Ovis aries: one gene and its partner. The protein of the gene in region 1 interacts with the protein of each later gene in a biochemical or structural test. Links are inferred from orthologs where the notes say so. Each region holds a gene or a part of one and is shown on either strand. Other genes may lie near its edges.

Region 1 (3,864 bases):
CTCACCTGGGATGTCTGAAAGGCCTGGGAGACAGCCAGACTCAGCAGGCCAGGTTACCCAAGCCTGCCCAACCTCCCTCCTGGACTCAGGCCCCAACCTGCTGAGCCCCAACTCCATCCCAGCCTGCCATGGCCCTCCTTTCCCTTTCCCAACACTCACCGATGGGAAGCATTGGCTGGTTCTCACAGTACACACGGGGACAGTATCCAAAGTCTCCCTGCTGGTACTTTTCCAACTGATGTGAATGAAATTGAAGGAGTTGGTGGGTAGGTATGAAGAAAAGAGGCAACCCCCTCCTCAGCCCAATCCACATCACTGTGTCCCCAACTCCTTCTGCCTCTTAATGTCCAGAGGCCCCTTCTCTGGCTCAGATGGGCCTTCAGACTCCCCTGCTTCCTTTCATCCAGTCAGGCAGTCTGAAGATCATCAGACATTCACTGCTTATTCCCTGAGGAAGAGGCAGTCTACAACTTTCTGCTCTAGGTCACATCTCCCTCCCCCAAAACACTCCCTTCACCTCAACCCTCAATCAGGTCTTAACCCCTAGGCCCAGATTCTGGGGTTCTTTCCCCTCTTCTCAGCTAGATTCCGTGACAAGGCTGAAACGAGTGACTTCTTGCTGATGGAAACTCTGCTTCCCTGTTGCCTCTGAAGGAACCGAGTAGGAGTAGAGAGGCCTCACCATCTGGGCGATGCCACGGTTGGTGAGGATATAGCGGGCGTGGATCAATCCATAGAGCATTTCGGCTGCTTGCTCAATCAGGTCACTCTGGTTGGGGTTGTCTTCCAGCTCCTCATCTGAAACATGGCACCAGCCAAATGCAACCACTTGTCTTACAACTTTTTAAGGTGCCCTGCCTACTCCCAGGGGCTGCTGGCTCTTCAGCCCAGCACCCAACTTGGAGCCTCACCCCACCCACAGCCTGGGCCTCTGCCCCTTCCACCAACCCAAGGGTTTCTTTCCATCCCTCTCAGCCTCTGCTTCCTTCTCTTTTTTAATAAATAAATGCAAAGATGTCAACACAGAAGATAGAACTCTAACCTGGAAGGGGCAAGGAAGAAGATAACACCCATGGAGAAACTAGCATTTTCGATAAGTGCTAAGTTATAGGATCAGAGTATGAGAACAAGTGTAGAAGTCACAAAATTAGGCAAGAGTGAGGTATGGAATCAAAATGAAGTAAAGGATTTGGGGTTAAAAGGGTTAGAGAACCAAAAGGAAATTTAGAAATTCATGAAGCAGATAAACAAGGTGTGAATAGGAAAAAAACAGCACACACACAAAACAACCCTGAGGGTGTCTCACCAGGCTCCAGGTCCAAGATCATGTCTAAAGCTTGTCGATAGTGAGGCACCTGTTCATTGAGTCCAGTGAGATTGAATTTGTCCTGGATATAGTCTTCATCCACCTGTCAGGACGTGAAGTCAAAAGGAAACCCAAAGCAGAATCCTCAGCTTTGACCTGGGCAGGGTGCTCTAACTCGTGCCTTATCTTCAACACAACTGCTTCATTCCCTTTGTTCCACACTCCCAACTCAGCAGAAGTACTTGAACCTCTCTCCCTAGTTCGTGTATACTGCCCACCCAGAAGAGGTCTGGCTTTTTTCTCCTAAACATAAGCAATCCCCTCCTTACAGAGGCAGTCCTTTCAAGATCCCTGTCCTGATTCCTGTTCCTAGCTCTAGGAATCAGTTTTGGCCTCTCCTGAGGGGCAGCTGGCTCTCTGAGGAAGGTGGGGGCTGAACAGCTTGGATTCTGAAGTCAGTTACACTCCCTTATGTTAACACACAGCCATGCTATAAAACATTTTAACGTGAAGTGTTTTAATTCTCCTAATAGCTACCAGAAATACATACTATCAGTACTTCCCTGGTAAAAAAAAAAAAAAAAAAAAAAAACAACACAGGTTGACAAGTCCAACATTAGGCTGTTGGAGGGTGGCAGGGTTGACTTGGGGTCTCAGTCTTGACCCTTCACCACAAGTTAGAGAGCGCTACTAAGGAGACTCCTCCTTGACAAGAGTTTTTACTAAAGTATGTAAGAGAAGTGTGTGGAAGCTTTATGTGCAGGAGATTATGTGGCCAGATTACATGTGGAGGTGGATGGTAGGGTTGAGGAGAACTCACCTCACAGAAGAATTCATTGCCACGGAGCCCACAGAACCAAGAAATCCAGGACACCTCCTCTGAGCTGCTCATCTTCACGTCGGCTAGAGACAGAAGAGTATAAGCCTAAGCTCTCCCTCCCAACCTCTGGTATCCTCACTCCTCCCACACTTTGCCCTCAAACCATGGAAGAATTTGGGGCTACCCTTTTCTTAAAGAACCCGAGACTGGAGCACGTCTCTCTAGCTCCTCTTATTTACATTCCAGCCCCTTTTCACTGAGATTACATAGAGAAATTCTTCGGGGTCCACCAGCTGTGAGAAACCGACAGGTCTTGACCCCACTAGTCCTACCTCCATCCCTGACGCTCCTGAAAGCCAGGCCCCTCTCTCCTCCGTGTCAACTCCGGTAGGGCCGTGGCTCAAGCTCCCTACCCCCGCAAGTCTCTGGCCCCATTCTCAAGGGTTCCGAAGTTTATCCTTTCCAAGCAAGAGCTGGGCCCTCCTTTTCTCATGGCCTATAGGTGGTGGTCAGGTCCGTTTCATAGAAGTCCCGACATCCCGCCTCCACCCTTCGGGCCACCTCTCCTACCCTCGGTGCCGGACCGGGTCATTTCCTTTCCCACCCCCACATCAAGACGCGGAGACCCCATGTGCCGCGCCCAGGGACAGGGGACATGGCGCGGCGACGACCACCACACTCACCGACTGGACGGGGACTGGGACCGGGGGACGGGGAGGGGAAGGGGAGTTTCTGCTTCCAAAGACCGCGACGACGGCTACAACGCAGGCCGCGGACCCGACCGCGGCAGGCGAAGTGGGGTGGGGGGAGTGGAAACTGGGGAGGGTGGGGAAGAGGGCAACGCGCAAGTGCTTAGAGTTAGGAGCCGCGGTGCATGCCGGGAAATGGAGTCCTTGGGAAGAAGAAACTGACGAAACTAGGGAAAAGCGAACTACAAATCCCAGGATGACCCGCGCACGACCCTGGTGTCACGAGGCCCCGGGGGAGGGGTACGCTGGGGGCGGGGCGCAGCAGGGCACTGCGAGCCGCCACCGGAAGCGGAAACTCAGTACCGCGTTCTGGGCCAGGTAGCCTGGGAAATATAGTCGTGTGATTCCGGGGACTGCAGGGCCATGGAGGGGAGGGGGTGGGCCGGGAGAGGAACTAGGCTGGCTGGTTGCTTCTTGCTTCTCCCATCAAACAGCGAGCCTCAGGCCTCGGCGAGACTTTGCTGCCCGGGGCATTGACCTCATCCCCAGCCAGCCAGCCCTCCTGGCCCTTATTGCCTTGCTCCTTGGAGTCAGCCCGCCAAGGAGACCCGCGACGGGGCCCTTGTTTCATCCGGGGTTCGCGCAGCGGAGGCGGGAGGTGAGGCCGGGTTCCATGCTGAGGGTCCTGGGTAGGGTGTACTGGGATGAGCTGAGCGGTGTGAGAACCAGGACGGCCCCGTGGGCTAACCTGAGGTGGTGCCAGCCATTCTGCTGCTTGTCCCCTTGCACTTCTCCATTTCCTCTTAGGGCTTGAACGGGGCTGCTGTGGGCGCTAAATGCGACCTTCGAACCCTGGTCAGAGTAATGGTGAGGGGCTGCGTGACGTTATTTCATTTCAGGGTTTCTGGGCATTCTCCGCCTCAGAGCCTTTTTTAACCCTGAGAGTGATTTCCCAGGTCCAGAAAATGAGCTCGGAGCGGGGGCCACGTTGAGGGAGGAGGCGAAGGGCATTGTGGGGGCGTTATGTAAAAACAGAACCCCAACCGACG
Region 2 (3,909 bases), on another chromosome or scaffold:
TATCCTGGTTCCCACTGAGGTTTCCTGACCTTCCTCTTTTTTGGCATCAGCCCTGCCCTGAGTTCCTGAAATTGTCACCATTTTTCAGGCTAGAACAACTACAGGATGGCTATTTTTGCTGCTTTTTTCCTGAGAGGGGACCCAGCCCTATCTCCTCCTCTCTTCCCGCCCAACAAGAATGGGGAAAAAGAACCAGATGATCAGTCTAAGAACAGTTAGGTAATTTGGAAACTGAAACACTGACAGGAGTTTACAGGACGGAGAAGCAAGGAAAGCAGATGAAGACATAGACCACCCCTTGTGATCTAGATTCTACATGTTTTGGCTATCTAAAGAACTGCTAGAATTCATTCACTGCGAGAAAACAGAAAGCCAACATTCTCTGCATGTTTACTCTGTTCCAGGTACTATTCGCATATATATCATCACTTCATTTAACTCCTTTGTCAATAAAATATTGAGTGCCTACCAAGTTAAGCAGGAAGAAGAGATGAAATGATACTGTCCTTGACTTCAGGAATTCAAAAAAAGTGAATATTCTTGTTCATTAACAAGAATAAAAATAATAAGAGTATTTATCGTGTCCCTGCTTTGTGCCAGGTGCTGGGGATACAGATGAGAACAAAAGAGTCAGTCCCGTGAAGCTAACCTCATAGTGGGAAGACATATACAACAAGAAAATGAAAAAATGAGGCAATTTCAGAAGTGAAAAACGTACTTAATAAGGCGAGTGACTAGGAAGAGGGACTCATTTAGATGGGGAGCCAGGGTAAGGCTCTTTGGGAAGGTGACATTCCAGCTAAGCTCTTAAGAGCATTCCAGACAGATGGAAGAGTAGGTGCAAAGTTCCTTGGTCAGACGCAAGTTTTAGAAGCAGAAATAAGGCCAAGGTGGCTGGTGCAAAGAAAGAAGGGGGAAGATGGCTGGATGTGAAGTCAGGGAAGGCAGCGGCAGATCATATTGAAGAGTTTGGATTTTATATTAATTGCAGTGAAGATCGACTGTAGGGTTTAGAGCAGGGAAGCGATATGATCTAAGATCACCCTGGCTACTGTGTAGAGAATGGACTCTATGAATGCAAGAGAGCAAGTGTGAAGACCAGAAGTCTAGGCAAGAGACGACGAAGGCTTGGACTACAGTGCTGGTAATGGGAGTCAGAAAAAAAGTGAAGTGACCTCACTTCATCATCATAGCATGCTGAAGTTTACATCATTATCTCCTCTAAGTGTAACCCAGAAGTGCACTGGTTTTCCCACATTTACTACTCCACTCTCCAAACAGTGCTTAAGACAATGCCATGCACATTTGTAAGTATTCGTCAATCTGTTAGACTGAACCTGTCCCCGAAAAGATTTAAGTAGGTCCCCGGTGGCGCCAGTGGTAAAGAGTGAAGTGAAAGTGAAGTCGCTCGGTCGTGCCTGACTCTTTGTGACCCCAGGTTGTAGCCTGCACCAACCTCCTCTGTCCATGGGATTTTCAAGGCAAGAGTACTGGAGTGGGTTGCCATTTCCTTCTGCAAACACAGGAAATGCAGGTTCGATCCCTGGATCAGGATCATCCCCTGGAGAAGGAAATGGCAACCTGCTCCAGTGTTCTTGCCCCGGGAAATCCCATGGACAGAGGAGTCTGGGGGGCTACAGCCCCTGCGGTTGCAAAGTTGGACATGACTGAGTGACTGACCGTTCATCCTGGGAAGAATGTCCAAGGAAAGGCCAGGACAGGTGCTGTATGAAGTACTGAACTCCTTTGGTGGTTTGTCCAGTATGGATGAGATGAGCGCCCCGCCCCAGCAGACTGCCCAATCAGTAAGTTAAGCTTGAATGGTATGAGATAACTTTACCAAACTGCCCACCCGGAAGGAATAAATCCACCCCTTAACAGGTTTTAACAAGTTCTCTATGCATTTTGTGTCTAGCCCCAATTTCCCCACGATCAAAGAAAAGGAGCTCACCAAAGGTTAGGCGGCTGCCAACAAAGGAAGACAAATCCAAACTAATCTATTCTTTTCCAACAAAGCAATTGCTTTGAGCCCCTGGATGACGTCAGCTGAGATTCCAGTTGCTCAGATTCCGCCCAGGCCAATAGGTTCCAGGAATCCTGTGGCAGGTGACGCCCCAGAAGGTAATTCCAGTGAAAATGAAGTTTCCACTGAAAGCCTCAGAGCTCTTCCTTCCGGACTTTGTGTGTGGGTATTTGGGGATGCTAGGGGCCTATCTGTGTCACACTAGGCAAAGCGAATGGGAACCTAAGCGGAATAAAGGGCAAACAATCACGGCGGTGTTAGACGGTGGGGTCCTAAGGAAAGAAGGTCCCAGAAATTCGTCACACCAGGGATGGCGAGGGGAGGAGCCGATCTTGGTCAGAGAGGGCGGATCTAGCAGAAAATCCAAAGTGTAATTCTATTGCTACATCCAAAAGGTGTGGGCAAATTTATCCAGACCCAACCTCTCCATGCCAGTGTAGAGTCTTTCCCAATTCATACCCCTCCTCACTATTGAGAAACAGAGACCGGTTCTGACACCCATCCCCAGGGGAGGATTTGAGCTCTCCACCCCCACCCCTCTTTCGCCGTCCCACGCCTTTTCCCCAAGACCGCGTGGGGCTCTCTTTGCTCAGCCCAGGACCCAACCATCCCTTCCCCTAGGACATGGGCCGGCTAGGCTCTCACCCTCCCCGGTGGCGCCTCTCCTCTCAGCTGGATTGCAAGTCGACACCGTGCCGCCCCCGAACTGTGGCCGCTCGAGCTCCAGCAATCCCGGGCCGAAACTCGCATCCTCCACCCAAGGACTCCGCCCCAAGCCGGCGGGAGCCTGAGACGAGAAGGCAGGGCAGGCCCAGCATCCAATCAGGGCGGAGGGAGGGGCCCCTGAGAGTATTTTGCGCTGAGAGCATAGCTACTTCCGGCAGCCTTTCCGGCGCAAAGGCTCTGGGTCTCGTAGGCAGTTATCCTTCCTCTCAGGCCTCTGTTTCCCAGCAGGCCCTGCGGGCTTGATGGGTCTAAGTGCTTCGGGGTCGGGAAGTGACGTTGACGTAAACAGGTTCTGTCGCCGTGGCAGCAGCTGAGGCTGCTGGGCAGGGTGTCGGCGGCAGCCGACTGGAGAGAGGCGCTGACTTCCGACGTTAGCCTGGGTCGCCAGCGCTGTCGCTGCTGGGTGAACAGGTAGGCCGTGACCCCGGGTTGGCGGGCTTGGGGCAAGCCCGGGGTGAGATTAGCCTAACAGGCCCGTGCCCCGAGGAAAAGCAATCGCGGGGCGAAAGAAACGTGGTAATTCCGCCAGGCTCTGGGAGCGGTTTTACCCCCGGCTAGGGCCTGGAGCTTTACGCGCTGCTGCTCCCAACTATCTTAGGAGGAAACCGCGGCTCAGATTAAGTTCAAGGAGTTTACGTAGTGAAGACGCGAGCTCCACACCCAGGTCTTCCTAATTTTCCCCACACCCCACGGGTGGAGCCTGTTCGGAGCGCCCAGCGTGGTTCCGGGGAGACCCCCGGGGTGGGTTTGGAGGAGAACGCGTCACCCTCTCTTACTGGAGCTCAGTCCGGCTCTTGTGTCCGGTGTTCCTCAGATGCGCGTGTGGTGGGAGTTGGGAGAGAATCCGGTAGTCGGCTTTGAACCCTCTCCGCTTCTTCTCCGGTCTGACCCTTCTCATTCAACTATCCCTTCCAGCCGTGCAGCTGGCTCAGGCCAGGTACGCGGGAATCTTGCCTGACTCTTTTTCACTCCTCCCCAAACCCCTGCCTCAGTCATCCTTTGCTAAGTCCTATCAACTGGACTTACAAAACATCTCAAATCGGAACACTTCTTCAGCTCCAAGCCTTGGTTACTGAAATAGCCTGCTCTGTTTTCACAGTCATTCATACCACATACATTTGCTGAGTGCCAGTTTCTGTGTAGGTATCATGTTAGATGCT

What was found.
Region 2: the proteins of CSNK2B (region 1) and TNFAIP1 form a complex in vitro, tested with the Homo sapiens proteins (2 studies listed by BioGRID, with this or other methods). The link is inferred for Ovis aries from reciprocal best matches to the Homo sapiens genes CSNK2B and TNFAIP1.

The regions. Positions count from the first base shown.
Region 1 is NC_056073.1:26,713,108-26,716,971, forward strand, and holds the start of CSNK2B (casein kinase II subunit beta), read right to left. Parts: upstream 2,935-3,864; 5' UTR 2,810-2,934; intron 2,210-2,809; 5' UTR 2,199-2,209; coding exon 2,127-2,198; exon of another isoform or gene 1,410-2,126; coding exon 1,307-1,409; exon of another isoform or gene 799-1,306; coding exon 683-798; exon of another isoform or gene 236-682; coding exon 160-235; exon of another isoform or gene 24-159; coding exon 1-23. UniProt on the Homo sapiens protein: Regulatory subunit of casein kinase II/CK2.
Region 2 is NC_056064.1:19,764,890-19,768,798, reverse strand, and holds the start of TNFAIP1 (BTB/POZ domain-containing adapter for CUL3-mediated RhoA degradation protein 2), read right to left. Parts: upstream 2,792-3,909; 5' UTR 2,669-2,791; exon of another isoform or gene 405-2,668; intron 1-404. UniProt on the Homo sapiens protein: Substrate-specific adapter of a BCR (BTB-CUL3-RBX1) E3 ubiquitin-protein ligase complex involved in regulation of cytoskeleton structure.